Alligator mississippiensis: one gene and its partner. The protein of the gene in region 1 purifies or fractionates together with the protein of each later gene. This does not show direct contact. Links are inferred from orthologs where the notes say so. Each region holds a gene or a part of one and is shown on either strand. Other genes may lie near its edges. The genes, in order: SS18 and BICRA.

Evidence for each region.
Region 2: the proteins of SS18 (region 1) and BICRA purify together in Homo sapiens (affinity purification with mass spectrometry; 3 studies listed by BioGRID and IntAct, counting the BioPlex papers as one, with this or other methods). This does not show direct contact. The link is inferred for Alligator mississippiensis from reciprocal best matches to the Homo sapiens genes SS18 and BICRA.

Annotation. Positions count from the first base shown.
Region 1 is NC_081826.1:85,081,199-85,096,350, reverse strand, and holds the start of SS18 (protein SSXT), read right to left. Parts: upstream 7,723-15,152; 5' UTR 7,642-7,722; coding exon 7,573-7,641; intron 7,365-7,572; exon of another isoform or gene 7,068-7,364; coding exon of another isoform or gene 7,056-7,067; intron 6,133-7,055; coding exon 6,056-6,132; intron 3,580-6,055; coding exon 3,495-3,579; intron 1-3,494. UniProt on the Homo sapiens protein: Appears to function synergistically with RBM14 as a transcriptional coactivator. Isoform 1 and isoform 2 function in nuclear receptor coactivation. Isoform 1 and isoform 2 function in general transcriptional coactivation.
Region 2 is NC_081838.1:1,743,618-1,758,573, forward strand, and holds the start of BICRA (BRD4-interacting chromatin-remodeling complex-associated protein), read right to left. Parts: upstream 6,991-14,956; 5' UTR 6,376-6,990; intron 4,641-6,375; 5' UTR 4,533-4,640; intron 3,469-4,532; 5' UTR 3,413-3,468; intron 1-3,412. Other genes in the region: ZNF541 (zinc finger protein 541), read left to right, coding at 10,841-11,114, 13,024-13,267, 14,692-14,956. UniProt on the Homo sapiens protein: Component of SWI/SNF chromatin remodeling subcomplex GBAF that carries out key enzymatic activities, changing chromatin structure by altering DNA-histone contacts within a nucleosome in an ATP-dependent manner.

The DNA of each region.
Region 1 (15,152 bases):
TGGTAGCTTAATTCTTAAGAAAAATAAACCAAGTTAAATTATTGGTGTTACTGCATCAGATAATGTAACAGTTAATTACAGTACCGAATCACTGACTTGTAGCCCCCAAATCTTAGTCACATTTCAAACTAAGCAAATTTAGGCAGCCATTGTCAGTTCGCAGCAAGGATAACAAGTAGTAATAGAGTAAAAGCCAGATGACTGGTATTGAGACTGTTCACAGTGAATCACTGAATTAAGAACAACTTGCTCAGCTGTGTGCTGCAGTTTTTATACAAGTTACTGCTTCTCCAATCAGCTGGAACTCATCAACAATCCCACAATGCTATTCAGAGAACCAATACAATTTGAAGTCAAAGCTACAGAGAATCACTGGATTCCCAGGCAGCTATTGGCTAGTTCTGTATACCCCGAGGTACTTCGCTAGCCACCATCTTTATATGGGATTAGGCACCTAGTTCTGTTAGTATCTTGGTTCTACTCTATGAAGGAGAGTGAAAAATAAGTCTTGCAAATCCAACTGGTTTAAAAAAAAGGAAAAATAAATAAATAAAATGTGCATTTTGTGTGAGAAAAATTAATCCCCAGAGCCAGACAACATGGCCCTGAACACAGCCCTGGAGCACTGGGTCCAACCTGACACATGGCCCTGGACCTAGTGGGCAGTCCCCAACTCAGTCCAATCTGGCATGTGGCTTTAGAGCCAGTACACAGGGTCAGACTCAGTGTGCAGCCCTGGACCCAGCACACTGGGTTACTGCAGGCCAGTGTGCAGGGCTTGCAGCGGGTATGGCTCCCTATCTGCTACTATTCCAGGGGTGGGCAAGATGCAGCCCACAGCAAGTCCCTTGGCCCCACCTAACCTAGGCACAGGGGGCAGCCTGGGCCATGACATGCAAGGCCAGTCCTGCCGCCCCAGTTGTGCCATGGAGCAGAGGCGGCATGGCAGCCCCTGCAGCAGCAGCAGCTCACTCTGCCTGACTGCCAGTGCCAGCATCTCCACCGCCAGATCCGGCCCCACTGCCTGTACACCCCAGTCCATCCACCCTGCACCCACAGCTGGGAGTGCTGGATGGAGCAGGTGGGCGGTGTCTTTCTGGAAACTGACCTGGGCAGGGCACACTCGGCCAGGAGGATGGGCTGGGGCCGCCGGGTGCGGTGCCTGAAAGCAAGATGGGCAGTAGGGGCCAGGACTGTGGGGCAATGATAGCACAAGGCCAGGCCCAGAGCAGGGCTCTAATTTGTTCCTTGTACAGCTCTATGACAGTCACTGGTTCCAAAGGCAGAGACATGTATGGAGTTGATCACAGCTCTGCCCCAGGCCCTGGCTCTGCACTGTCACTGTCTGCCCGTGGCCCCATCTCATCTGCCCAGTCAAGTGTGCCTTGCCCACAGGGGTCCTGGCCAGTCTTGGTAGAGACCCCACCTACTTAATCTGGTACCCCCAATGGTGTATGCAGAGCAGACTGGCCCAGAGAGGATCTCCAATCCTGGCAACAGCTCACCAAAGCTCCTTAAGTGGCCCTCCAGCCCAAATAATTACCTAACCCTGTACTACTCACTTACTACATATAAAGAACCTTTTTTCTTCCCCTCCTGTCAGATTCCCTCAAAAAACAAAGTGCATACTACATATAGGGACATGTTGTACGTGTGAAAAAACAGTACTGTGTGTTCAACACTGATTTTAAGTATGCAGTGAACTATTTTCTATCCTCTGATCAAGTTACCACATAAATCAGATACTTGAAAATTTGGCCAGAATGTCACACATTTGGACACAACTGCCCGCTTCATTTTTTTTTCTTTAAAGCCACACCATGAGTTGCAATTCATTTAAAAAAAAAAAAAAAAAAAAACCCAAAAAGAAAAAAGGCTAATAAGATACTGCATGTAGCTTATTTATAAATGTAGGGAAGAAAAAGAAGATACTAGCAAGAAATTGACATTTCCTGGAAGATTTCCTATATAACTTGAGAACCACAGCTCAAACTCATCTTATCCCAATACTGTTTTTCTTGAGTAGGAACTGCCTCCAGATTTAACTGCAAATAAAGAACTGCCCACTAATGACCAGAGCAAGATGAAACTCCTCTCTACTTATGATCAGGACCAGGATATAAATTACAGAAGACCTAAACAATAAAGGAGGTAAATAAATTAATTGCATATTATGCAATGCTCAAAAAGAGCACCAATAAGTAGATTTCTTTGGACAGAAGACCATGTTCCTATAGTCCTTTTGGTTGGCAATTCTTAACCAGGGTGCTGTAGCAATCTAGGGTGCCTTAAGATCCTTTCAAGGATGCTATGCAATGTTAGCATTATTAGGTGTCCAAACATATTTCACAAGATAAACCCAAATATTTCAAATAAGACTCCATTGTGCTAAATACATTCTGACCTCCTGTAATCTGTGTGGCCCACAACAGAAAAACCACTTTCTTAGTGAAAAATAGGAGTTGACATTTTTGGCAGGATGCCTCAAGTCTAATGAAGTTGAGAGCCACTACTCTAGGTACTCAGTGAAAGAATGCTCCACCCCTGATAAGAGCAGAGCTCTCCAGAGACACCAGAATTTTAGTTTAAAAACTGATGTGATAACCTCTTGTCATAGAAGTCAAAAAGAGCATGTTGAAGCAGCTGGTTAAATTTCAACTTACATTACCAAAAATAAGGAACTTCCTAGAGTTATTCAACATTACAGACTTTTTTGTTTGGGTCTATGTTGTTATACATAAAGTTACCAAGGGAAGCAAAGAGGTGGAAGCTATTATCCCTCACCATTCTCTTTGCTTTCCCATACATTACAGCAACAGTCACTAAATGACCAGGTTATGAAAATAAAAAAAGGGGTGGTGATGGTAATTTATATCCTAAGGAGAGTTGCAAGAATATCTATTCGCAAAAGTTCCAACTAAAAACCAGTTTCAAATCAACATCAAGATTTTAAAACTGAAGCACTGAAGATCAAACAAGAACTCAAAGGTGAGCCCGTGCAAATTATCTTTGACTTCTTTATCATAATACAGTGCCATAAACTGATGATGCAGAAATTACGCAAGAGCCAGTTAGAGGCCAAATTAATTTTTGCCAACTGAGGTTGCCATAATGTCACTCTGTGGCCATGACTTCTCCCAACTCAGCACACATATATAGAAGACAGAAAACTGTTACAGGAGCTGGCTAAACCTGCAGCAGTGGAACAGTTTCACACCAAGGACACCCTTAGTTCAGGAGGTGAGAGCTTTCCATTGTGTCAGGCCAAAGGCATCTGCATGCTATTTTTAAACCACAGGACTAGTTTTAACTTGGCTTGAGAGAGAAACATAGGGGAAAAAAAAGCTGTGCAGTGAGAGCTACTGGCTCCAAGGACCTACATGAAGAGATTCCCTTATCCAAAAATTTGTGTAGTCTCCTGTTGTTTTCTCATACTATCAAAATTCCATATGGATGACTGTCTCAGTTCTAATATTACTGCAAAAGGTACTCACTGCTGGTAGTAGAGACTGCATATTTTGATTGGAGTCTGCTATAGTGGCTAGGTAGACCAAATTCGTATGCAACATCTGCTGATACCTATCAAAACAAAGCATGACAGGTTTAAAAGGAGCTAAGAGACAACAACTTTTTCATTCACGTTCTCCAAGTTTACATATACAGTAGATACTATATGGTAACTCCACTACTCCCATCAAGGTTCAAAAGATCCTGGGAATTATTTTATGAAATCGCCCATTTTCCACATTTCCATCTCTGCCACTAACCTATGTTTTGACAATTCAGAAAAAGGTTATGCCTGTACATGTTCTATGCATTCTTCTAGCACAACAGAAACAGAGGAAGATTACATTTAAGTCTCTGCTCCAGGTAAGTAAAGGAAGCTAAGCTGCATAAAAACGCATATGCATTGTTACCGCTTGACCCACTGGGTATCTACAGTGCTGTGTGAAGACATAGTGAGCCTCCTTCACACAGGGTAGCTCCGTCAGGCACAGTATACCTCAGCACAATACTGGCATATGCTCTGGAGACACACGCATGGGTACTACTTAGCATAGAACTCATTTCTCTCTTATTTGCATGCCTCAGCAGCAAGAAATGATACCTACATGCAAATCAGGATCAGGGATATCATATGCAAATGATCAGGATTTGCCACAATTTACCCCCTGTTGCTGCTGAAGTGCTCTACACTCTGGCTCTTGCCATCAGCAATAATTGTTCATGCAGTCAAGTTTTTAAGCCTCTATTTAAAGGTTACAAAGAGCCTGAAACAGTGACTTAGGTGTGCAAACAGTACTCACACTTGGAGCCACATGGACTTTGTGATTCCAATTGGGGCAATTTGGTTATCAAAAATCACTTTCCACAAAATGCATCTTTTTGTTGCAAAATGGCTGCACGTGGTACAACTAACATTGTTTTGTTTTCTCTCTCTAGAACTTCTCTCCCCCTAGCCCCGCCTTTAATACCTCCTGCTTTGTATTTTTCACAAAATAGAAGAGAATTTATAGGGTTATAATACATGATTCTGACACACTTCTACAGAACCAGGCAATAAGTGACTAAGGGTCCTGGAATCTAGATTATAGTTCAGGAGCAAAAGGAACCAAGAAACACAGACCAGGCATCTAGGCTGCCAAAAATTAAGCAGCAGTAGGAGAGACAATAAACCACTGAAGATTATTGTAAATTCCCACCTTCCCTGGCAAACAGAAAGCAAGAAAAGGTGATTTAAAGCTAAGTACCCAGCCAACATTATAATTACTGAAACCCATAAACAAGACTGTGCAGAGAACACCAGGGAGAATTATTAAATATACCTATTAATATCTGGTAGAGATATTTTCAGCTACTGCATGCACGCATTTAGCTTATAAAATGCAAATCCAACCAAAGTCCTATTATGCCTCAGTGCTCTGTTGAGAGACCTGGATCTCTTCAGGCTATACAAAAGACGGCTGAGGGGTGACCTTGTGGCCGCCTATAAATTTATCAGGAGAGGACAGCAGGGAATTGGGAATGCGTTGTTTACCAGAGCGCCTCAGGGAGTAACAGGAATAATAGGTGCAAACTAGCGGAGAGTAGATTTAGGTTAGACATTAGGAAGACATTTTTTACAATAAGGGTGGCCAGAGTCTGGAATGGGCTTCCAAGAGAGGTTGTGCTGTCACCTAACTTGGAGGTCTTAAAGAGGAGGCTTAACAATCACCTGGCAGGGGTCATCTGACCTAGGTCCTCTTTCCTGCCAGGGGCAGGGGGTCAGACACGATGATCCACTGGGTCCCTTGCGAGACTATAATCTATGAATCTACAAATGCTGCTTCCCTAGTAACCTAAAACACTGAAAATTAAAAGCACCAAATTCCTGCTAATACTACTGTTAACCTTATGTGCAGAGATACAAGCACGATCTTTTAGTGGGGCAGCACTCAAAGAACGAGCAACAGCAGCAGGAAGGAGTTGTTTGAGTGTCACTCTCCAATCAAGCAGCATTTGAAAGCAGCACAAAGTAAATGCAGAAAGTTAAGATGAAGGGGTTTGTGTTGGTACTTTCTTAACATTAATTAACTAATTCCAAATGGAAATATAACCAACTCTTCTTGGCCAAAAACAGGCTTGTCATTATGCATTCATTTATAGCAAGAAGAGGTCACATTTGGTTGGGCGTAAAAGTTTTGGATCCATTTCAAGTTTCCTCTTCCATACTCTTGTTTCTTCCCAATTTTTTCAAGTAATCTAACCCTTCTCTTCAAGATATGATTAAGACACTGAAACATATGCAAGAATCTATATATTTTTGGTTCTACACATTTTATTCCATCTAACATATGCTAATCAAATTAAAATAGAACTTCTGTCGCTTTGAAAAAGAAAAAATAAATATTAATAAGCTAAATTTAAAAAAAAAAAATCAAGAACACAGCATCATTAGGAATGTTTTTACAAACTAGTTGGCACAATTCTCTCATGGGAAGATGTGAGCACACTGGAGTTTAGTTACATCGTTGATTTTACTAATTACAAAAATACAGTCAGATTAACATCTTACTGAGAGCACTCTGAGGTCTTCCCTTTATTCTGATAGTCCATTATACACTGGATGAGATGGTTATTTTCATCCAACATCTGAAATAACAAAAACATAAACATGGAATAAGTTTAAACACTCTTTGAAAAGGAACTGAAAAAGCGATACTGACTTCCACTTCCTAACCAACATGACTGTTCAAAAAGTGCTTTTATAAAAGGGGTCTGCTACTGCATCTGTAGAACTTTCCCCTCCTCTTATCCTTCTCTCCCCACTTTCCATTTTTAGGGCTGTGTGTCAAGTCACTACTAAAGTTACAGTTGCCAAAGATTTTCTATTTGAGCATCTATTGTCTTCTTATTTTAATGTTTCAAAAGACTCCACATTTGATCTTTGCTCAGATGCTTGTTTTGGAAACTCTATGAAAAAAAAAAAAAGTCCTCTTCCCTACTAGAAAGCAATGTTGATTTAAGAACAACAACACATATAGGCAAAAAAAAAGTTAAAAAACTTACTTACAAGTAGCCCTCAACACGAAGTGCTTTTGAAAAACAAAATCAGAAATTATGAAGCATTTTATTAATAGTTGGCATAACTGGTATGATTTTTCTACCAGACTGTATATGCCTTTGGGATTGTGAGTTCGCATGTATTAATGTTTTAGTCAGAAGCTATTGTCATGAAATAGCACAGCTCCTACTTATCCACAAAAAGGACTCTTACAAGTTTCTCAATGAGTGCACACCAACTGCAGGTGCTTCCTCAGCCTGATGACGGGTGTTTAAACCCGGAAGCTTGCTAAGAAACATTTTTTTCAACTATTTCAGTTGGTCTAATAAAAGATATCAGATGTGCCCACAGAAACCTTGTCTGCCTATGTCTTTAAACCAATACGGCTACAACTTGCACCCCTCCAAAATAATGAAAGTCATAACAGCCAGCCACACGCATCTCCAGGAGAAAATTTCTCCTCCCACTGAACTTGAAATTTACCCTGAAAGGCAAAGAGAGGTGGCAATACCATGGAGCTCATTAGGCGCTTGGCTACTGCTGGAAGTTTTGCACCAATGACTCTCAAGCAGGACGTTGCAGCGCCATGGGGCACGCCACCTTAGCGCAGGAGGCGTGCAAACACGGCTCCTCACGCAGGAACGAGGGGCCACAACACAAAAGCAGCAGGTCTTCCGTTCAAAAAACAAACACTAAGTTTTTTTTCCACCCAGCCTGTCCCTGGAGAGCCGAACTTGCTGCCCCCGCGTGCTGCGGAAGCCGACGCTTGAAGCCAGATGCCCAAAAGAAGGAGTGGACACGTTCCCGGAGGAGAGGGGCCGCGGTACCCATTGAGCCGCCCGCCGGGGAAGCTGCGCGGCTCTCCTTCCCGCCGGGGGGAGCGGAGGCAGGGCCGGGCGGACGGGACAGCCTATCCCTCGGCACAAAGGCCGGGAAAGTGCGGGGCGGGGCGGCGCGGGCCGAGCCCCGGCTATGCCCACCTCCGCCCACCCGCGGGCCCCCGGGGGCAGCGCCCGACCGCGCCTCACCTTCTGGATGGCGGCTGGGGTGATCTCGCCCTTCCCCCGCTGCCTCGGGGCCGCGAACGCCACCGACATGTCGGGCCCCGCGGGCAGCTGCGGCCCCAGGCCCGGCGGATGGGGGCGGGGTGGGGGAGGCGGCAGCTCCGGCCCATGAGCTCAGCGCCACGGCAAGCGGGGGGAGGGGCGGGCTGTCGGGCCGCACCATTCGCATCCCGAAGGAGGGGGGTGAGTGCACACCCCGGCAGTGTAACGCCTCTCCTCCGCGCCCTGCAAGCAGCCTATGAGGAGGCCCCGAAGCCACAGCTCCTCCGCTACGCGCGGGGGTAGGCGGGTACCGAAGGCCGGCTTTTAAGTGCGTTATTTTGGTGGATCCATTTCCTCTCCTCGCCTCTCTTCTCCTCTTGGGACGTGGTACGTTCCTACCCGACGCTCGTCCGGCTCAGAGTAGGCGGCAAGTGGTACGGCCCGGGGGGGGCAGGATGTTCATGTGACAAGGGAAGGCGCGATGTCTCCCCCCTCCCTCCGACTTGGTTGCACCCAGGCAGGGAGCACGCGGGGGCGGGGCCTGCTGGCGCGCTCGCAGCTCCGCGCTCCTTTGACTGCTCAGAGCCCGAGCCCGATGGCGCATGCGCAGAGCCCACGCCGGGCTCCCAGCGAACCTCAGCCTCACGCGTCTGTGACGCGCGTGGGCTTCAGTTCTGTGCCACGCGGGAGAGGGCAGGAGGCATCTGCCCCACAAACCTGCCCTTCACTGGCGCCAGCTGCTGCTCCATCCCCTGCTCTTCCAGCTCCCTCCCCCGTCTGCGGCAGAGATGCCCATTCTCCAGCCATGCCACAGGTGGCTGCCCTGGGTCCAGGAGGCTGGTGCCAAAGAGGAGAAACGTGCCAAGCTGCCACGTTCTTTGAAGTCAGCTCCTGTTTGCTAGAGACAGTGGGAGACCCAGGCGCTGCCTCAGGCTCTGGCTGAGACACTACAGGCTTGCCTTACTCAGCCTGCACTGTCTCCAGGGCCAGATCCAGGCAGGTGCAGTGATGTAGCTGCATGAGCGTTGCCAAGTCCTAAATATGAAATTATCATACTGGAAGTTCAAAATTATTCTATTTGCTGAAAAACTATGGTATGCTGAAAAAGATGCAAATAAGTCTTCTTATTTACTTTATATTGCTCACTATATTATCTGCAGTGAGTGAGTGAGAACTGGGTCATCAAAGTTGAAACATTTCTTTATTTTGAGACAAGTAGTAATACAAAAGTACTAGAAGCAAATCCAGAAGTAATGGATAGAGGATTTATATATATATATAACTTTATATAAATAAATAAATATAATTACAAAAACAAACAAACCCAGAAGTCATTTAAGACTCCCTGACAGTGACTTGGGTTTTGCATATGCTGCAGCAATAAGCTGTCTCAAAAATTAGCATACGTTTTGGGGGTTCAGGTTGTTGCTGTGTTGGTCTAGGGACACAGTCAGACAAGGTTTTTTTGGTAAATCCAGTATCTTTTACCAAACCAACTTAAATACTTGGAAAAAAATCTTCTTAGCAAGCTTTCGGGTACCAACTGAATGGCTTTCTTGCATAGGTACTGGCCTCTTGCTGCTTTACCACTACATCCAGGAAGAGACCAGACCATCTGAAGATGCTTCCTCATTCTGACAAAGGGTGTGTGTGACTGAAAGCTTGCTAAGAATTTTTCCAACTATTTGAGTTGGTCTAATATATCAGATTTAACCAAAGAACCTTGTCTGCCATCATACATGTTGCAGGGTGAACACTTTTACTATTATTGATTGTACATCATACAGGGGTTGAAACTCATACAAATATGATAATTATCATACACCTGGCAACATTTCGCTGCACACACCACCCCTGGCCCCCACTTTGATTCCTGGCTCCACCCAAAGTTTAAAACCAACAGGCTGGCAGTAGCAACAGCGTTTCTCATCTGGCAATGCTAAAGGTGTCAATTGATTTCATTGCTCATTCGTATCCACCTGATTCCTTCCAAATTCTTCATCCCATTGGTGCTAAACTACCCTCTCTCCTTTGAATTGCCTTGATCTACCCATGAAGCTCACCTTTGTTCTACAACACTGCTGTCTGTTTGCTGCTCCTAGGAATGTAGCTCCTATTGCACAGCCCTGCAGACTCTTTTTAACTCATTCCAATGAAGTTATACTTGTTTTTACATCAACCTCAAACAATATCACAGCCCTTGGCCCCTAGCATATTAGTAAAACTTGTAGGTTCTTTTTACCTGAAGAAAAACATGGGTTGTTACATGTGATGATGCACCTCACAATGTGCACCTCCCTTTTCAAAATCCTAGATCTACCCACTACCTCCCAAACCCCAAGTAGGCTATGAGCCCTGGCACATGCTCAATGCCACACTACAACTGCACTGCTACTGGGTCTGTGTGCTGTTGGAAGTTACTATTGTATTCACCCAATATCCTCACTTCTTTCATGCCGGCTATGGTTCTCTCTGCTCTCAGAATGGCATTTCCTTTGCCAGGCCTCTGAATTAGTATCCTCAGTTGACCTGATGCTCATCTGGCTGGCTGGCTGTACTAGAATTGCCTTTGGTCCAATCCTTTCAGTCCAGGTCATTCTAGGGAGGTAGGATAGTGCAAGAAGATTCACTACACATTTGCCTAGGATGTTTCACTTACTGTATTTAATATTTTACTTATCACCATGTTATCTGCATTAACTTTACCTCTCTAGTTCCTCTCCTTTGCCTTCCTCACACAGTTACAGTACTATTATTATTATCCTTTCCTTAGCAATCTTTTGTTTTCATATTATAATGTAAAGTTGTAAGGATTCCATATTCATTAACAGTAACTAAACTCAATGAAAATATAGGCAAGATACTGCAGGACTGTTTTAGCATAGAAAAGAACATTCACACTCAAAGCCTACATTTAAATAATAGCACAAGATCACACAAGCAAGAAAATAAATAGCTACAATGAAAATGTGCCACATGTCTCAGAACACATAACCACAACAGGGTGTCTTCTTTATGACTTTCTTAATGTACTACAATATGCCTAGATATTGAAGGACATATGGCATATTTTCTCCTTAATTGCACATTTCTTTTCTAGTGTGAGTTAGTTACCACCTTAGCATTATTTAATTGTAATTTGGATGTGTAAATCTAGATCACCACCAAGAGTTTAAAACGTGAGTATATTTTATTCAGTTGTTTCTCCCACCTCTGCTCACCTCACTTTGAAAAGTATAGCCTCCTTATTGTTATGAAGGATTTTGATGTTTTCACATCTTTTTTTTTCTGTCCGTTACTCTATTTCCAAGATGACAAATAGCAAGGAGAAATTGTCTGTGAAGCTAACCTTGGCAGAATAGTACATATGACCTCCTGAAAAAACTACCTATTGGGATTGAGTTAATGGCAAGTGAGGAATTTTAGCCCCTTCAGGACAGGACCAAAACTCATTTAATTGAGACTACTTTACTTTTGAAGAAATCTTTCTTCACTTTACATATGAAGAAACCTATGGATTGTTTCCTACTGAGATCTTGTAATAGTACTGAAAAATGTATCCTGCTGCCTAGCTCTTGACTAAGTCCACTGTCTCTGTGTCAGCTTTATTTGAACAAAATTATCTGAATTAGAAAAGCCAGGCAAGAAGAGGGATGAAGAAAAAATCTACTTCATGACCAAGCAGGCACAGAGTTGCTGGCTAGACATTGTAACACTACCGTTTTCAAAACTGCCAGGCAAAAAAGAAATAAAAAACGGGAAAGTTTCAGGGTGCCTCCACCTGCTTTTACCTTTTTGATAGAAGGTTCCAATATCCATTATAAACTTTAGAAGGACTCTAACAAACTGTGTGTTTATCATGACTCCCCAGTAAAAGCCTGGATATATTGCTGACAATGTGCAGTGCTTATTGTACATTTACCTTGGATGGGTGAGAAGCAAGCAGAGTATCTTTAAGAGCTTGTTTTGATACTTTGGGTTTATTAGCTCTGGTTAATTTAGAAAAGTTAGTGTATTTGAAGCCCTTGCCAGGTAAGACTGTTTTCTCATCTTGACATGAAAAAAAGAAAACAGAATATTTTAAATTAACAGCATGAGCACAAAACAGCAGCAGCCAGTTCTAAGGGAGTGACAGGAATCAAAATTTGATAGCTGTGAAGGAAAATCCAAAAAAGAAGAAAGATTAATTTTGGCATAGTTTCTCCCCAAGTTTTCACTGACTGCTGTAAGCCTGATCCTGGAACTGTTTGCTGTGTCAGTGAATTCAGTTGCAATGCAGGGCCAGCACTTTGAGTTCTGCCTATTTGAAGGGGTGGGTTTTTTAACATAGTCCAAACTGTGTTTCTAAACATTTGTTTGTTAACAATATACGCAATGAAGAAACACAACCTGACTGGGGGGAAATGCCCTTTGATTGTGATTTGGTGCAACTCTTTTGGTGCTTTTTACACGGTAAAAGGGATTATATCAGGAGTAGAAAGTTGTCTTGAATTTATTGTATTCATTGGCTAGTTTCTTTTTGCCTAGTTCTTTCCATTTTGACATTTATGTTTTGCTTTGACATTTGTGTAGAATATTAATAAAGAGCAATGCTTAAAATATGAACCTATGTGTTCTGATATAAAATGAACAAGCCAAATACTATTGCACATTACAATGGTATTGGTGGCTCTATCGTCTTCCAGGGAGACTATAACAAAACCAGAAAAAATCCCTGTGATGCTAAATTTTTACTATAGTATCTGTCGTGTTAGTTGCAAGTGTTAATATTTAGAATAAAAAATGCATGCCATGTTGAACAGTCAGCATTAATGGGAGCAAACAGCACCATTGCAGAGAGAAAATCTTTCAGAGTCCTGATTTTATTCTTCAAAAGGGAATCTCAAACTAGTAGGAATGTATGCTATAAATAAAGAATAACATAAGAACGTCTGATGTAATCCTCCTTAGAGCTGAACATTATATAAGAATTCCTAGAGATTAACATTTTATTTCACAACACACAGGGAAAGTACTACAGTGCAGTGACTTCACTTGTGAGCGTCAGTAACAAATCAGAAAAGACACATAAGGGATGCCATCTACTACCAAGCATTCCTGTAGCAAAAATAGCAAAGATGTTGGTGACTTGCCTGCTCCTCTGAAAGGCAATAGGATTGTGGTGAAGAGACTTTCCTGCAGGGGTTTGTGGCCCAACATAATTTAGACCTATAGCTGAAAATAGAGGATAAACATAATCATGGGATAAGAGTGGAACAAGCATGCTATTGTTTCTTGTATTTGAATTTAGCATACTATGGTGTTATGTATTATAAGGCATAATGTGAGAGACATCCCATAAAGCATTCACTGCAAACTAGTACACTGTATTGAAACCCCAAAAGTTTGGCTGGAGGGCAGCGCAGGAAGCATAGCACTGAAGCAGCAGAGCCCTCCCAAGAATCACAATAGAAATCAGCCAACCTGGTCCTTACCTGAGGGGAAAAAAGGACCGTCAGCAATCCCTACAGATAGGTAGTAATGGTACTAGACACAGCATCAGCCACAGAAGTCCACACCACCTTTGCAGATCCCTCTTCTTCCTTCTCCCATTCTCAGTCTGATTTGATTTCCCAGTTTAACTCTAACTCTAACATGTGCATCCTTTTGGCTTTCTACTTTTCAGTTCACTTCCTTTGTTCATATTACCTTTACATTGCTTTTTCTAATCTCAGAAGTGCAATATCATGGACATTTTTACCATATGTTCTTTTGTGATAAAACTTAATTTCTATATATAGTACCAACTCAGAGTCACTGTGTATTTCATTAGCACATCTTCAAGATTATTTCTTTTGCTGTTAAATGAAAACATGCAATGAAACACAGGAGCACGAAATACAAAAATAAATCACCTCAATGTTTTTGTCAGTGTTATCATCAGTGGTGCAGTTTTTTTTCTATGGGACCTGAGTGGCAAGGAAAGCAACAATACACTGAACTCCTACAAATATGCTTTATGAGTATTACTATACTTGAAAAGAGTTTGAGAAAATCTGCTCTGTAACTAAAACCTCCAATGTGTATTTAGTAGTAGTGGAGTGATGTGGTAGCTGTGATGGTCCAGGAATTATGTGAGAAGCCAGGATTTCTGTGGATGATAAACTCTTATTGGACCAGCCACATGGCTGAGATAGACTTAAGCTTTCAAAGGTAAAGCAGTCTTTATGAGGAACATTTATTTATTATTTTCCACTCCTTAAGATCCTTTATGTCCCATGTGATTTATGTATTTAAAATGTTCAGATAATCTTGGAATTGGAAGCATTTGGATTCACCGGATACATATATACATACATACATACGTACATATATATGCATCCGGTGAATCCAAATGCTTATTGGAGGTTTATATATATAAATAAATAATAAATTAGTGTGTGTGTGTGTGTCACACATACCATACATTATATATATATATATATATATATACACACACACACACACACACACACACACACACTAATCCTATAATACATATGTGATATATGATAAAATATATAACTATACATATGTATAGATGTGTGTGTATACATACACATCTATACATATATGATAGATACACATATGTATCTATCATCTGTCATTGGTCCAATAAAAGATACCACCCTAAGAAATCCTTGCCTTGCATGATTTCTGGACCATTTCAGATACATCACTCTTACACTACTGTAGGTATGTATAAACACACACACATCTATACATATGTGTATGTATGTACGTATGTGTGTGTGTGCATCTCATCCAATGCACTAAATGCCCTGATGGAAAATACGTAGGAGAGACCAAACAACAACTGTGCACCAGAATGAACGCACACCGGAAATCCATCAAAGACAGAAACACCCAATTACCGGTGGGGGCACATTTCTCACAGGAGGGCCACTCTCTCTCCAATCTCTCAGTCCTGATCCTCAAGGGAAACTTACACAACACTTCCCAGAGACGAGCCTATGAGCTCCATTTCATCAACCTCCTGGATACTGGAGATCATGGACTAAACACAGACATTGGATTTTTGATACATTATAATCTTCCTGGCAACTGACTCCCCAGCCCAGCCCCTGGCTTCTTCACTTTTCATTCCATCCAGGAAGAGCACACACCAACTGCTGAAGCTTCCTTAGCCTGACGAAGGGTTTTTGAACTTGAAAGCTTGCTTAATAACTATTCTCCAACTATTTGGGTTGGTCTAATAAAAGATATCAAATTCACCCAAGGAACCTTGTCTGTATACATACATATACACACACGATAATATGTGATTTATTATACCCAGTGTTATTAGCATTACTATACTTGAAAAGAGTTTGGGAAAGCCTGCCCTGTATCTAAAATCTCTAACATACTTACAGACAAGGTTCTTTGGGTTAATCTGATCTCTTTTATTAGACCAGCTCAAATTTGTAGGACCAAATTTGAGCTGGTCTAATAAAAGAGATCGGATTGACCCAAAGAATCTTGTCTGGCTGCATCCTGAGACCAACACGGCTGCAGCCAACACCCCTGTAACATACACGGGT
Region 2 (14,956 bases), on another chromosome or scaffold:
CATCTAACCTCACAAGTCTCTCTTATCCCCGTTCTGTTCAAAATCAATGTTTTTTTACTTCAATTACAGCTGATTCAGGCTTTGTTTTGGGGGTTCAGCTTGATAGCTGTTACTGTCTGGTTACTGTTTAATAAGCACTTAAGTCCCAACCCAGCTGTGCATCCAAACAGAATCAGGGCCTTTAAGTATCCGAGCACTGAAGTCAATGGCATGAGACACACGCTTACACTTTAGTATGTATGCAAGTGTTTCTAAGAGCAGGGCTTCGGAGAGCTGCTTATTGTTTGTGCGGGTTTATTAATGTTTGCACAGTGCTTTAAAAGAATACCTAACAACCTTAAAAGAATACCAGTGCTAAGCGGTATTTTAATTTTTTAAAAGGTGCCTGCAGTTTGCAAAGAGTTTGAAAGAGAATCTAACATCAGTCCTTGTGCTACTGACTGCAAAATGTTGCTGCTCCTGTTTATTTATTCAAGTACCGAGAGTGTTCATAGCACTCTCTGAGACACTAGTATTGATGGAGTTGAAAACATCCATCTCCCCATGCCCAGGTCTCTCGACTTAAGGGAAAAGTATGACTTGAAAGAAAGCAACAGCGGTGGAGATATATGAAACTGCTGGCATAACTCAGGTTTTTGATTCAGCTTCTTGTAGCAACAAATGAAAGTGTTGCAAATAAACCAAAGAAATTTAATGATTTTAATGCACTTGGTGCTGTAGTGTCTGGGCACATGACTTGTGTGTAAAAATGCAACGCAGTAGTGCTATTACTAAGAACCAAAACCAAGAAATGCATTAAAATAGAACAATCCACCAGACAGTACAGCCTACTTCTTTGTAAAACCAAAAGAAGTTCACAGTAAGGGCACGTACATTGGAAGGTTTATTTACATCTTTAAATATTAGTCTGTAATAACGTCTACTTCCTCCCCTTTAATTTTTTTTCTGGATTTCTGGTAATTATGAATCATCCTTTCAGAAGAGAAGTTTCACCAGGTCGTTCCTGCCACGCTAAATCTTGGCTCAGCAAAAAAATCTAGAATAAATCCTGGAGAAGAGGCAGGATTGCGACCAGCGGTGGGTACCGCTTACCAACAGTTTCTATATTCATACTCTTGTCTCGTAAATCATCCCTGAACTGATTCTGGAAACAAGGCCGTTTTTAACTTACGCCGCCTAAATTAAGCATGTCTCTAGGTGTTAGTGGGATTGTGGCTTTAGTGGGTTCAGAGGGAGATACTGCTCTAATTGTGGAGGAAGCAGGTTAACTGGGAGGAAAACAGCACCTGCAGTTGTGACTCTGGATTCCCCAAAGACCTTTCGTGGGTCAGATATCAGAAAGATTTCTAGGCACGGAACAGAACACTGCTTTTTGTGGTGATTTTGACCTGCCCCCATAGTCCATTGTTTTAACCAACAGTGTTAGTCATCCTTATACTGTACAGCCAAGCTGACTGAAAACAGGATTTCTAGCACTTCTGCGACTAAATTAATCACGTAGCCGTCGGGTTTCACATACTGGCTGAGGACGGGGCATATCCAGCAAGATCAGGTACAGAAGATAGGGCAATAAAAAGTTTGCGGGGCTGGGCCCAGCTCGAACTGCTGAAAAGCAGCCTGTCCTTTCACAAGATTGTATTTATTTATAATATTGTTTTGGCGGCTGAGCAGGGGAGCAAAAGCAGGCAGCAAAATTTTCTGGCTGGCTTGAATGAGAGGCACGAGAGAGTGCCCAACGTGAGCCAGCAGCTTTGCCCTCCCACTGTACTTTCAGACGCAATTTCGAACCGGCTCCGTGTTCAGGCAGCACAAAGCACAGCTCACGCAAAGGTCCTCGGCATACCAATTATAAACTGGTTCTGCCAGGGAAAGGCGGCCCGCTCTGGATTGGCCAAAAGTGGAGCAGCTCGGAAAGTAAGGGGAAGGGCTAGACGCATCAGCCGGCAGCCTGATTAGACAGGTTAAATGTGATTGACCGGCGTGAATAATTAATCTCTGAGAGGCAGGGCTCTCGGTTTTGTTTATACCCTTCCATTGGCTGGATTTGAATTAGATATACATTCTGTTTAGGCCTGGGTGGGGCTAGGAGTGGGAGTGGGTTATATTTTGGTGCGTTACGCTATAAAAGTACAGGGTGAACCGAGTGCGGTGACAGTTGCACAGGAGGAGGAGAGAGGACGGGCTTTGTAGCACTGAGAAAAGGCCCCGCGAGCAGCCTTGCCAAACCACCGTGGGAGACTAACTGACGGCTTCTGTTGCAAGATGTCTACGCTAATTTGGAAGGCAAACCGATTGGAGCAATACTCATTACTAAAAAAAAAAAGGGTGGAGAAAGGGAAACGAGGGTGAAACATGGTGTTTCCTCTTCTTAGCTACATTACGGTGCAATCTGAATCGCTTGATGGCTTTTGAACGCAATGAAGCACACCCTTAATCACACGTGAACTGGGTTCTTCTTTTTCCATTTTTATTTCAGCTCTTCCACCCGAAGGCGGAAAGCTGAATAAATCCAATGAAGTCTATCTTTTACTAAAAGGTCCTGGCAGGAAGCCACAAGTATTGCTAATTAGACTAACCCAGAGGGGCAGGATTGCTAAAACTGGCTTCTTTTCTTGAAAGGATGCTACCCTTAACCGAGCTCTTCGGGAGCAGGGCATGTTTCCAAATGGGAAGAAGCTGATATTGATTTTTTCTTTTTTTTTTTTGGTAAAGAAAGGTTTTTTTCCAATTGCATCTCATTTCCCTAACTTAACAGGCGCTTCCCCCTTTTCTTTTCCAGAGACCAAAAGAAAGAAAAATATAAATTACGAGTGGCAAGAGGGTTCCCCATTGCAAAAGTCTACTATTTGGACTAGTCGAGTCAATCCTGAGGCTGCTGAGACTGTTGGGGCACCTTAGATAGTGACCTTAGTTATTTCAAATAGTGGACTAGCTGGGCTGCATCCACATGAGCATGGATGTGTGGCACGCGGTTCTGTAGATCCATCTGAGGCGCCACACGCTGCATGTGCAGGTGTTTCCCACGCTGCTACCTTGTAGTGTGTGTGGGGGTGGGAAGGGGTTGACCCTGGAAGATCTTGGGATCAAAAAAAACCCACGCTGAAAAAAGGCAGAGCGGTTCACGTGGTGGCAGCATGTGCCAGAGCATGGCTGGCCACTGGAGCCATGCTCCCTGCTGCAGCTGCAGCTATGGGAGGACCCCAGGTAAGGCTGCAAGAACCAGCAGTTGTTGGCCCCAGCCTCCGCTACCCCACCTGGGGTAACCTGCCGTGTGCAGAGTACATCTGGCATGGACGTTCCTCGGGCACATGGTTTGCTACTTGTCCCCAAAGAACCAAGCGTCCGCACTCATCTAGGCACACCTGTTAAGGTAATGTTTTTTATTCTTGTAAGTGGATGCAGCCCCACTGACCTGAATGCACCATTGCTCCTTGATAGCAGCAGAAAATCTGGCCCATGGAATCCACCCTTCAAAACCAGAGCAGAGAGGCAGGTTAAATAATACTTAGCACTTTGCAGAGAAGAGGATGATAAGAGGCAGCTAGTTCCTGTATAGTGCTTATCAACAGCCAGACCTCAAAGCACTTCACAAATAAGGCAGGGTCCTTATTTGTTTTGCACAGCTTGGCAAACTGACATACCACCAGCAGACCCGTGACAGAGCCATCCCAATCCTGTGCTCCAACGACTAAGTTACCAGGCCTCCTTCTGACTTAAGACCTCAAGCAGCATTACAAAGACTAAATAAAACTTAATTAACCTAATGTTTACAACCCCACTAATATCAATGGAGCCAAAGATCTAGCCCATTAAACATAATTAATTACAGTGTCACACAGAATTTTTCTGGGACCAACTCACTGCTGCTGTGTCTCTTGAGCTAGATGGGTGAAAAATGGTATTGAATCATAGCAGTGGGATTTTACACCCACTTCACGATGTTGTTAATGTCTGCACGAGATGTATTGCAGTGCCGAACCAGCGTCCCTCTGCCTTGGCTTACCCAGCTCTCAAATGGATAAAGTAACTTGGGGCTGCTTTGCAAGATGCAACTCTGATCCGTGTTTGTAAAACAATTTCAGATTTCTGGATTAAAGGATTTATATAAGCATTATATATTCAATTTATTAAAGCAGACTCATTCTTGCTGCTAATAAAATAGCAAAGGATCAGTCAGGAATTCTATGAAGCTTCCAGTTTTCAAGTTTAGATGGCCTGAAACTCACTCTAAAACATTGTGTAAACACGTGAATAAAAATGTCCTAAAAAAACATGAATGTTATTTGTTCCATTTTAAATAAACAAGGTTAATTTTTTTTTTTGGTAATGATGCTGCTGCAGATCTCAGCCATTTCAAACCCTGGTTTTATGGTGCTATTTACATCAGTGAGGGCTTCTCATATGAAGGCTGGCCCTTAATTTTTAAAACAAATTCCCTAGCTGTAAATGGCTTCTGCTTTAATTACTGAACTATGGTAACAGGAGGCAGCTGCTGCAACAGCATAGTTTTAAAAGCACTGTAGACTACTTACGTTCAGTTCTGTGATCTTTTTCCCTCTGTCTTTTCTCTTCTGAGTTATTTTACGGCGATACAGGTGACTCCAGATGACTGCTCTCTCAGCAGGACCAGGGCTGTAACACTGATAATAGAGTTTTTTCATTGGTACAGTTAGAACGTTATTACTACTCAGGGAGCAGTAATGGCCTAGAACATATTCCAGGACAGGGGATATTCTACCAGATTTACCAGGTTGAAAATCGGATCAGTTCTTTAGAATAACGTTATTAAATAACTCAATCATAGGAAAGAGGAGAATGGTCCCCAAAACAGCCTGGAGGTACTTATTACAGACATGCATATAAATAATTACAATACAATTACATTTAGACTACAATACCATAATTACAATGACTTTAAGCTAGATTTGAAGGCTTTGAAGTACAGGCATTTTACAAACACGATTTCATTAAGCCTCACAGCTGCCCTGTGTTGTACATCAGTATAATTCCCCTACTACAAATGGAGAAACTGAGGCAAGGAGCAATTATTTCTATCAGAGAAAAAAAAAGAGTTTAAAATATATATGGGGCCAACTTAATGCCCAACTTGAGTTCATGCTAGAGAGAGATGCTTGACCCAATTTCTAACTTGACAGTGAAAACAAATTTAACTTTTTTTTTTTAATTCAGTTTCTATCCTAAATGGGAAACTTAATGACTGAGATGTATTTAAATTACATAATTGTGTTCAGCAGAGGAAAGGAAATTAATTTAATTAGAGGGATTTTTTTGTATGCTAGGTTTATTAAGGATTTTTTTTTGGTGCAAGCTGTAATAAAATAGGCTAAGTCTTCATGTATGCAGATGAGCAGGCTTTAAACACCAAATCAAACAATAAAAACAGCATATGTAGGTGCATCTTGTATTTCCAGAGCTCCCTGTCTGGCTCCTGCAGTCAGCTGCCATCTGTTTTCTCCCTGAACTATGTTCAGCCCTTGGCTTTGAGTTTGATTACCTGAATGCAGATGGGAAGATGAAGGTACCCTCAGTTCAGGGAGCTGCCAGTCCTATACCCCAGGACTTCTTCAATGTCTCATGCTAACTGATGCAACTATGAAGAGCTACCTGCCTACAGATCAACCTGCTCTTGATATATGAATTTACACTTATGCTAATTAAACTGTGTGTGTAGACTCCATGCCCGTCTTTCAGTCTTGACATGTTAGTCCTTCCTTCTAGTTACTCATTTATCATGAATAGTAGCAAGTGTCACTCTTCACATTTTGTGGGCATAAGGCTATAAGAGTAGAAGCTGGAAATAATTGACTAGTTGAATGCAGGAAGTCCTACTATAAACAGTGCATTGATTTGCTTTTCTGGTCAGGCACTGAACAGTTAACCTTTGCTGGTTTAACAGATCATGAACCACATTCAAAACATGAATGAAATAAAATTAACACAACATCAAGGTGAACAACATAAACTCACATCTCTCTGGATGATATCGGAGTGTTTTAAGATGGAAAGTTCACCACAAAAGAAATGTAATGTTTGAAGAGCTAATCAGATGCACATCAAGTTTTTACCAAATATCTGATGCCAAATACCAACATAAAAATCATTTTTGACTCATGAGGCAACGCACACATAGTTCACCACCCTCCTGATAAAGGCTGTTTCTTCAAATGCAACTTGAAGAAGAGTGCTGAATAGGCAAAAAGAGAGAGAGATTTGGACTGGATTTTTTTTCTCCCAAAGGGAAGCAATGCTGATCTTGCAAACAGACATTAGCGCTCATTCTTCGCATTGACATACCCAGCAGAGGCATGCATTATTATTCTGATCCAGTGACCCACTTTGCAAAGCTGTACACACCTAATGAAGGTAGTGGTGTCTCTCATGTCACCTCCCGAAACAAAGCACCTTCTCATATCACGATGGGCACGGGAATCCTCACTTGCAAACGCCAGCAGCATCGCCACAGTGCGGATTCCTCAATTGGACCAGCCAAGCCACTAAAAACCATGTTTTACAACTGGCACGGCTCGTTCCCACTAAGGAAGCATACGTTGATCATATCTGGGTATTTTTGTGCTGGTCTGTGCACCGCTATCGTCTTGGCAAGGCGTTCGGTTCACAACCAAGTTCAATTTTATCTTCTGCAGGGTGGGGAGGAGTCCCTTCCTGCCCCTCCTTTAGCTCAACTGTTAATCCCTGCCCGTCTCCCCAACCCGTTGCACTTCCCTGGTCCCCATTGTTGTTTTCATTCCTCTCCCTAGAACTCTTCCTCGCTCCCCCTTCTTCACACCTGCTTCCTGCTCCATGACCCCCTCGTGCTGTTGCCCTCTCTCGCTCCAAACACACGCCTCTCCAAGCCTCTTTCCTAAGGTCTTCCCTTGCAGTGCCCACTAAGCCCCCACACACCTCTCCTGTTTGCAGCTCCCCATCACACCTTCCTCGCATGGCTGCCTTCCTACTGCACAGCTCATCTCCTTCCCTCTGTCCCTTATTTCACCCCCCTTTCCCCCTCCCCTGCTCATACCCTTTCTCCCCTATACCTTGTATCCCCAATTCAACTCCCCTCCCACAGCCCACCACTGTCCAGCGACCCCCCTGACATCTCCTGCAGCAGTGCCATGTCCCCCACCCCATCCATCACAGAAGTGACCCCTACGTCCTCCCACCATGTTCCCCACCCCTCCCATAACAGTGCCCCCTTTCTCCCACCCCTCCTACAACGCTGCCCCTGGTGTCCACCCCCCCCCAGTGTAGCATTGCCCCAGGCTCCTCCAACATCTACCACACCTGTGGCCCCCTCAGCCCTCCCACAGCAGAAACGTGCACCCCAGTGATCCCCCTCTATGCCCCCACACCCCCCAGCATTGCTCCTCCCCCCCCCCACTTTCGCGCCCTCGTCTTCCCCGCCCACAACATGGCGCCGCCCCGTCGCCTCCCCCTTCCCTTTTCCCGCCTAGGCGTCACGTGACCCAGGAGGCTCCTCCCCTTCTGGCCCGGAGGCTGCGCGCGCGCTGGTGCGCATGCGCGGCGTTCCTGCGGGCGGGGCTGGACCGCGTGCGCGGGCGGCGGCGCGAGGCGACGGGTAGGGCCGCAGCATCCGCCGCCATCCGGGCCCGGGGTGGGGGCGACCCCCGCGGCTGGCAGCGCCCCGAGGGCGGGGGGGGCCGGGGCAGGTGTTACCCACCCAGCAGGGTCTTGGGCAAATATCTGCTCCAGCAGGGGCAGGAGCAACCCTCCAGCAGGGCCTGGGGCAGGGCCAGGAGCAACCTCTAGCTGGGGCAGGTGCAATTATCTACCCCATTGGGGCAATAGCAGCTCTCCAGCAGGGGCAAATACCAACCCCAGCTGGGGCAGGAGTAATTATCTACCACACTGGGGCAAAGCAACCCTCCTGCAGGGGCAAATACCCTGGCAGGAGCAATTATCTACCCCATTCGGGTGATAGCACCCCCCCAGCAGGGGTAAGAGCAGTCCCCTGTTAGGGGCAGGGGCAAATAATGTACCCCAGCAGTGGTAGGGGCCATGATCTACCCCAGCAGGGCAAGAGCAACATCCCAGCAGCGGTTGGGGCAAATATCTATCCCACTGGGGTAAGAGCAGCTGCCCAGCAGGGGCAAATATCTACCCCAGCAAGAGCAAGGGCTGAAGCAAATATCTACCCCTCTAGGGGTAAGAGTAACCCTTCGGCAGGGGCAACTATCTACCCCAGAAGGGGCAGGAGCAAACCCTCATTAGGGGCTGGGCAAATATCTACCTTAACAAGGGCAAGAGCAACCCACTGACAAGGGCAAATATCTCCCCCAGTAGGGGCAGGAGCAACCCTCTAGCAGGGGTGGGGCAAATTCCCGTTCCAGCAAGGGCAGGAGCAGGGACAACCCTGCACCTGGTCAGGGAACGGCCCCTCTTCCCCCATCGGGGCAGGAGTAAATATGCAGGAGGGGGAAGAAGGGGGTAAATAAGGGCAGCAGCCTCTTGCCCTCGGTCGGGATACAACCAGAGCCACTGGCCCCGCCTGGGGCAAGAGCAGTGCCCCCCACTCCCTTGCACTGGGGTCCAGGTCTACTCAACGGGGGGGGGGGATGTGAGCTCCTCTGAAGAGTGCCGCGCAGTACGAGCGGAGGGATGCAGAGACTTCCGAGCATCAAACAGGAGAAGCGTCTGCTCCGTTGCAGTCTTCCCCATGCTTTGCGAGAGAATTGCTCTTATTTTTCTGCGCTCGAGAAACGAGCGGAAGCTCGGAGTTGTTGTTTTCCCAGGTTTGCTTTGGGTCTAAAGAGGTCGAGAGCCGCCGGATTCGCCTCTTCCTCCTCCGTGGCCTAGCACGGAGACTTTCGTTCCTTCATCTCGCTTTAGAGCTTCCACGTCAGCTTGCCCTTATGCCGTGTCGGCTACCTCTCGCATCTCTCCGTGCTAAAACAGCCGGTGCAGCGCAGACCTGTGCACCTAGAATTTGAGCGCATCCGACCACGATAATAAATTAGTCCCCGGTTCCCTGTAAGATGTTGGCGTCTCAAGCCATCGTAGTGTGGCGCGCTGAGTTTCAAGGCTGTTCCATTTCCTCACCGCTCCATGTTATTTTTTTTTATAAAGGCTGGATTAAAGGAAATGCTGTGTATAATTGATATTCTCTTCTTTTTAGCTCGGCACTACAAAGCACAGCCCTTGAGAGTCCTAAATATGCGACCTGCGGGTTGAAGAGGTCTGAAACATGTCCCACAGCCACCTAAGGTGTCGTAATTATGGGAAGACAGCATTGGCCAGCATCAGGTTTAGATTTGGGGGGAATGCTGGCAGTGGACTTTTCATCTTGCAGAGCAGATTCAAATGTTAACCGAGCGTTAGAACCGAGCCTGTTTGTTAATTTGAATAATAAATATGATCGAGCTTGAGTCTAAATGAGTCCAGCCTATGTAAACAGTTGCATGATTGGTCCCTTCATTTAAAAATGAGGTGCAGTTCTTTGGCTCCTGGCGTACTGAGGCCCCAATCCTGTGAAAACATCTGTCTGTGATTAGCGTTATGCATAATGAATAGTTTTATTGCAGCTGATGGGAATAATGAATATAATGCTAAGCATGTGTTTAAGTTTGGGGAGGGGGGGGTGATTAGAACTGCATTGAGAGGTACTTTCCAACAAGTTATTTCTCCCTCGTGTTTGGGAACGTGGGTATCCCTGACTTGTCTGTATGAATAATTATCTTGATGGCTTTGCCCTGTTCCTGCTGTTTTTTTTTAGGCAAAAATTGCAATTGATTTAAAAGAGATTTGCCAGACTCATGGAATAGTTGGACACTTTTTAAATAGTTTTGTGGCTTCATTACCTGAAAGAACTTAAAATCACTTTTCCAGGTTTTTTTCCCCCCTCCATTTAAAAACTTCTGGGTGGAGGAAGAAGAATGTAATTCTAAGAAAAATGCATTGTGTAGATTGTTTTTATTCACATTTCAATGGAAAATATAAAAAAACCGGGAAAGAAATTTTAAATATTTTTCAAGCTATGGGAGTGGGGAACAAAGGAAGGATATCTGACGTATCTAACTCAGTACCTGTATCTAAAAAGACTAACGTATAACAAAGTAATCCCAGGTGTCACTGTTTTTCCACCTCGTGTAAAATTTTAACTTGTTTGCCGAAAACTTGTGTTGAGCGCAGGTGCTACGAGGGAAGAGATAGAGCAGTAAATAATCTTGTGTTGGTAGTTGTGGGAATCTCACCTCTGAGATGGGTACCTTCTGTTCTGCATAGATGCACAATGCAGAGTGCATTAAATTAAACCTCAGTGCAGACCCTGTCCCTCATCGGATATTTTTTTTCCAAGTATGTTACGCTATACTTACAGAGCTGTCATTGGGAACAGTGGCATTAGATGTCTTCGGGCCCTGTTGAAATAAGGGAGAATCAGAACTTTTTGGAGGGCTAGACGGTTCTAAGAAACTTTAGATAACTTCAAACGTATTTGGGTCACAGACTTTCCCATACACACGGTGCTATTTAATTTTTAATCATGCACACAAGGTGCCTTTTTGCTTGGCCTCACTGCTAGGATTAATAGCTGCAATCTGAACACACGTTTGTATCTAAAATGCAAACCAGAAGTATTTATTCTGAGTCCTTTCCGATAAGGGCTGGTTTACATGTGTGTTAATTTATTGTTACTGATACCACTTTGATTATTTTAAATGTTATCAGTTCATCTCTGCTGTTTAACTTTTCCCTGTTACCTTTTGTTTAGGAGGCTTGCTACACTCCGATGCAGTCTTTAAGCCGTGTCCACTAGAAACCAGAGCCAATTTTCCAAATAAACCTCGGAAGGTGGGTGGACATGGATCCGTATCACATGCAGCTTCCTGGATTTTCAGAGAGTCAAAGACTGAACTGCAGTGACCCTCTCAACCATGATTTGTGTTCAGACATGAGAGACATGATGTATGCTGGCCTGAACAGCTTAGATATGGATCCTAGTCCTTCAGCCACAGATATAGCTATGGACACTTTAGAGGACAATTTAGATGCACTCTCTTTGTATTCAGTGAAGGACTGTGATTCAGCTAAACTCCTTAATGAGTCTGACTCTGACTCTCAGCCTTCTTTGCATGGTAAGTACGTCGGAGTTTCTTTGGGTTATAGTTTTGCAGGGTTATGGCAGGGGGTCTTTTTTTACAGTTCAGCATACCCAGAAGTTTATTTTCAAAGCTAGAGTGCATTAAGCGATAATCTCTGGGGCAGGACGTGGGGTACATTTTTCGAAAGTGATTTAGGACCTCAAAAGACCTTTTTTCAAATGATTTTTCTGAAAATGAATCCTAGGCTCCTACATCACATAGGCACTTGTAAAAATGTTGCCTGCTGTCTTTACTTGACCTGTGAATTGCCATGAATTTTTATAGTGCTATATAGACAATAATTAATAATTGTTAAAATACTACAGAGTGATAGTCATGCTTCCCCTTCTGTTCCGCTTCCTTAAAACTGCGCCCTGGATAGGAATATGTTCTGTTCGGAGTCCTTACAACCTGCTCTCCAGCTGCAAATGGAAAATATAAAGACATTAAAATGACAGATCTGCTGAATCTGTTGCTAACATCTACATTATTAGCTTTCCCTGAAGCATAGAAGAGACATTCTGCTTATTTGTTCTTGCATTTCAAGCTCTCTGTGAAATAGGTTTGGCAGAATTGGCTTTCTCCAGTTCCGCAGTTAAAAGTTAAAAAAGGAGACTGCCCATAGTGAAATGTTATTCTTTAAAGATCAGGGTAGCATCATTGCAGATGTGGATGTGCGATCATACAGATGATTTTGAAAACAGAAGAGACTGACACAACTGGTAGTGCTAAAATATATACGTTTTGTTACATATTTCCTGAGAACTTTTGGTGCTGATGTTTCTACTGATTAGGCAACATGATAGTGAAAATTGTAATGCATCTAGCTTTGTCTTTTCTTGTTCTGTTTCATAGCTAGTGAATCTGAGAGTATCTTGATAAACCTTTATTTAAATTGCTCAGTAGATTTTTAACTAGTTGGCTATCTGATGGACTCGGTTTAAATTCTGATTAGGTCTCAAGTGTAGTATTCTTCAGCAGTATCTTATTCAGAATCATAGAAAATGACCTCAGGAGTCATCTAGTCCACAACCCCCTGCTCCAAGCAGGACCAGCCCCGACTACATCATCCCAGCCAGGGCTTTGACTACCTGGGTCTTCAAAACCTCCAAGGATGGAGAGTCCACCACCTCTCTGGGTAGCCTGCTCCAGTGCTGTAGTGCCCTCCTAGGGGAACAGTTCGTCCTAATATCCAACCTCAACTTCCCTTGCTGCAGCCTGAGCCCATTACTCCTTGTCCTGTCATCTGCCCCCACTGAGAACAGCCCAGCTCCATCCTCTTTGCAGCCCCCCTGCAGGGAAGTGAAGGCTGCTATTCAATCCCCCTTGGTCTTCTCTTCTGCAGACTAAATAAGCCCAGTGCCCCCAGCTTCTCTTCAAGTCTTGTGCCCTAGCCCCTAGACCATTTTTTTTAAACTTATTTACCCCTGCTTATCCAAAAGAGGGAAAGTATTTTGGCAGAATTTGTCACATTGTTTAGAACTGAAACCGCCAAGCATTGTTGTGAGCGATGACTAAGATGCAAAGGTTGTAGCAGGTCAGGACAGAGCTGTGTGTGGAAAACTCAGGACTGGAACAGCAGTGGGAATTGTTGGTCCAAAGGATTTTGGTAGGGCTGTGCTGGGGATTTTCATAGACACTAGGGCGGGAGGGGACCTCGCAAGATCATCGGGTCCAGCCCCCTAATATGACTCTAATGACCATGTACAACAAGAGCTTGGGTATGTAATGCTCATACTGAGAATCTCAGTCTGTAACCAAGGCTCCCAACTAAAAGGTAAGCGAGAATTTAAAAGAAAAGTATTTCAACTTGGCTAAGTTAAATTAATACATTCATGGTGTGAGGTTCATTTATATTGTACCATGTGTGACCTAATGAGTGTAACTTTCTCCCTTTGTTTAGAGCTGGGGCTTCTTGCCCCTCCAGCACCTAAAGAAGCTGAACAAAGAGGCAGATCCAATACTGGTAGTGCCAGGAAAGGAAAGCATCAGCACAGCTCTCCTCAAAGCCCATTTCTGGATTGCAGTTTCTGTGGGAAGGTGTTCAGCAGTGCTAGTTCCCTTAGCAAACACTGTCTGACTCACAGCCAGGAGAGGAAACACGTCTGTAAAGTCTGCAGCAAGGCTTTTAAGCGTCCGGATCACCTGTATGTAGGCATTTACCAACAAAAAAAATATATAATCCCATTCAGTTGCTTTTTAAAGAAATGTAGAATGTATCTACTTCTGTAGGACCTCATTTTCTTATTTCAGTGCAGCTTAGTGGCTGACACAAGTACAGGGCTTGGTATGCTGCTGTTGGCGTTGTGCAGGCCAGCAAACTGTCAAATTATACTTCAAAACTATATCAAGAGCAGATGCAAGTTAGTTCTGGTGTTCCCAGAGTACAGTGGTGCAGGAGGGGCCTCATACCAACGTAAAACGAGAAGGAGCGACAATCTCACGCAGCAGAGTAGCAATCACAAGCGTGTATTTTTTCTTTCTGATCAGTGGTCCAGGGAGAAGCTTGGGCTTCTGAAAGTACTTGTACTGGACAGTGAATTCCCATGTGTCGTTTTAGCAGCCAATATCTTAGGAACCACTGCGATTGAAAACTACCTCTCCATGCATTTGATACCCTGAATCTCAGACCTTTCAACTGCTGGACAGTATTTCTTCTTATTTTCAGTGGTTCTTAAGGTATTGTCCCTTTAACAGTGTATTCTGGTTTCTAAGTCTAGTGGCAGTGGTCCGGGACTGAACATAGCAAGCCTGATTCATCAGAGCAATGCAATTGCCAATCCCAGCGGAGTGGCTGGAGGTTTCAAATCCATATGACAATACAGTATTAGTATGCATCTTTTTAAAGCATTTCCTTCCCTCAAAAATGGCATTGTGGAGTACCGTGTGCATATCTTCGTAGCGATTCCAATACCAAATCTGTTTAACTTGCAAGATGTTTTTCCTCTGCAAAGCCTGTGTGCTTGACCGGGCTGACAGTCAGGGTTCTTTCCATTTCACACAGTAAGAGGATCCCTGCCAGCCCTGTTAAGTAATCAGTTCTGCCTCTCTTTTCAGTTAATGCCTTTAGTGTTACCCTTTTCTTTGGGTAGGTTTTCACAGGCATAATATGAAAACAGCAGGGTAGAGCAAGACACACGTGACAACTTTCAGTCTGCAGTGTGTGAAGCATGCAGTTTGGCTCACAGGGCCCTGGGTGAGTTTGTGAGGCTGGCTGGTGAAAAACACCTTTTTAGGGAATTTTGGAAAGGGGGAGAGGTAAGTTTAGAATGGGATTCAGAAACCGATAGACTGCCCAGCTTAGTGATGGAGAGTGGGAATCTTAGTCCTGCTTTCTAGAGTGGAAAAGCAGCCTACCTCTGTGGACCTGTTCCAAATAGAGGTCAGTTGTACCTTGATTTAATCCCTGTGCATCTTTTGATTTGCACAGAGCTGAACTTGACATTCAGTGCTGAGTTTGGTAGGAAGGATTTAAAGAATGCAAGAGCTGCTATAGTTTAGATCAGAAGTGACGGCATTTGTGTTAGTAGTTTTAATATGAAGCTCCTGTCTTTTTGTTTCTTTGTCCCAGGAGTGCACACATGCTAACACATCAGAAAACCAAACCGTTTATTTGCATAGAACAGGGTTGCAACAAGAGCTACTGTGACCACCGCTCGCTGCGCCGGCATTACGAAATGTCTCAGCACGGCCTGCGTATTTTGAAGGAGATGCCCAGCGACGAAGGTACCTGCGAGGCCTCACCACCTTCTCGCGATGCCCGTGTCCAAGCAGAGCGAGGCGGTGTGGGAACCACGGAGAAGCTGGCCGGGCGCTTGGAATCCAGACCTAATTCT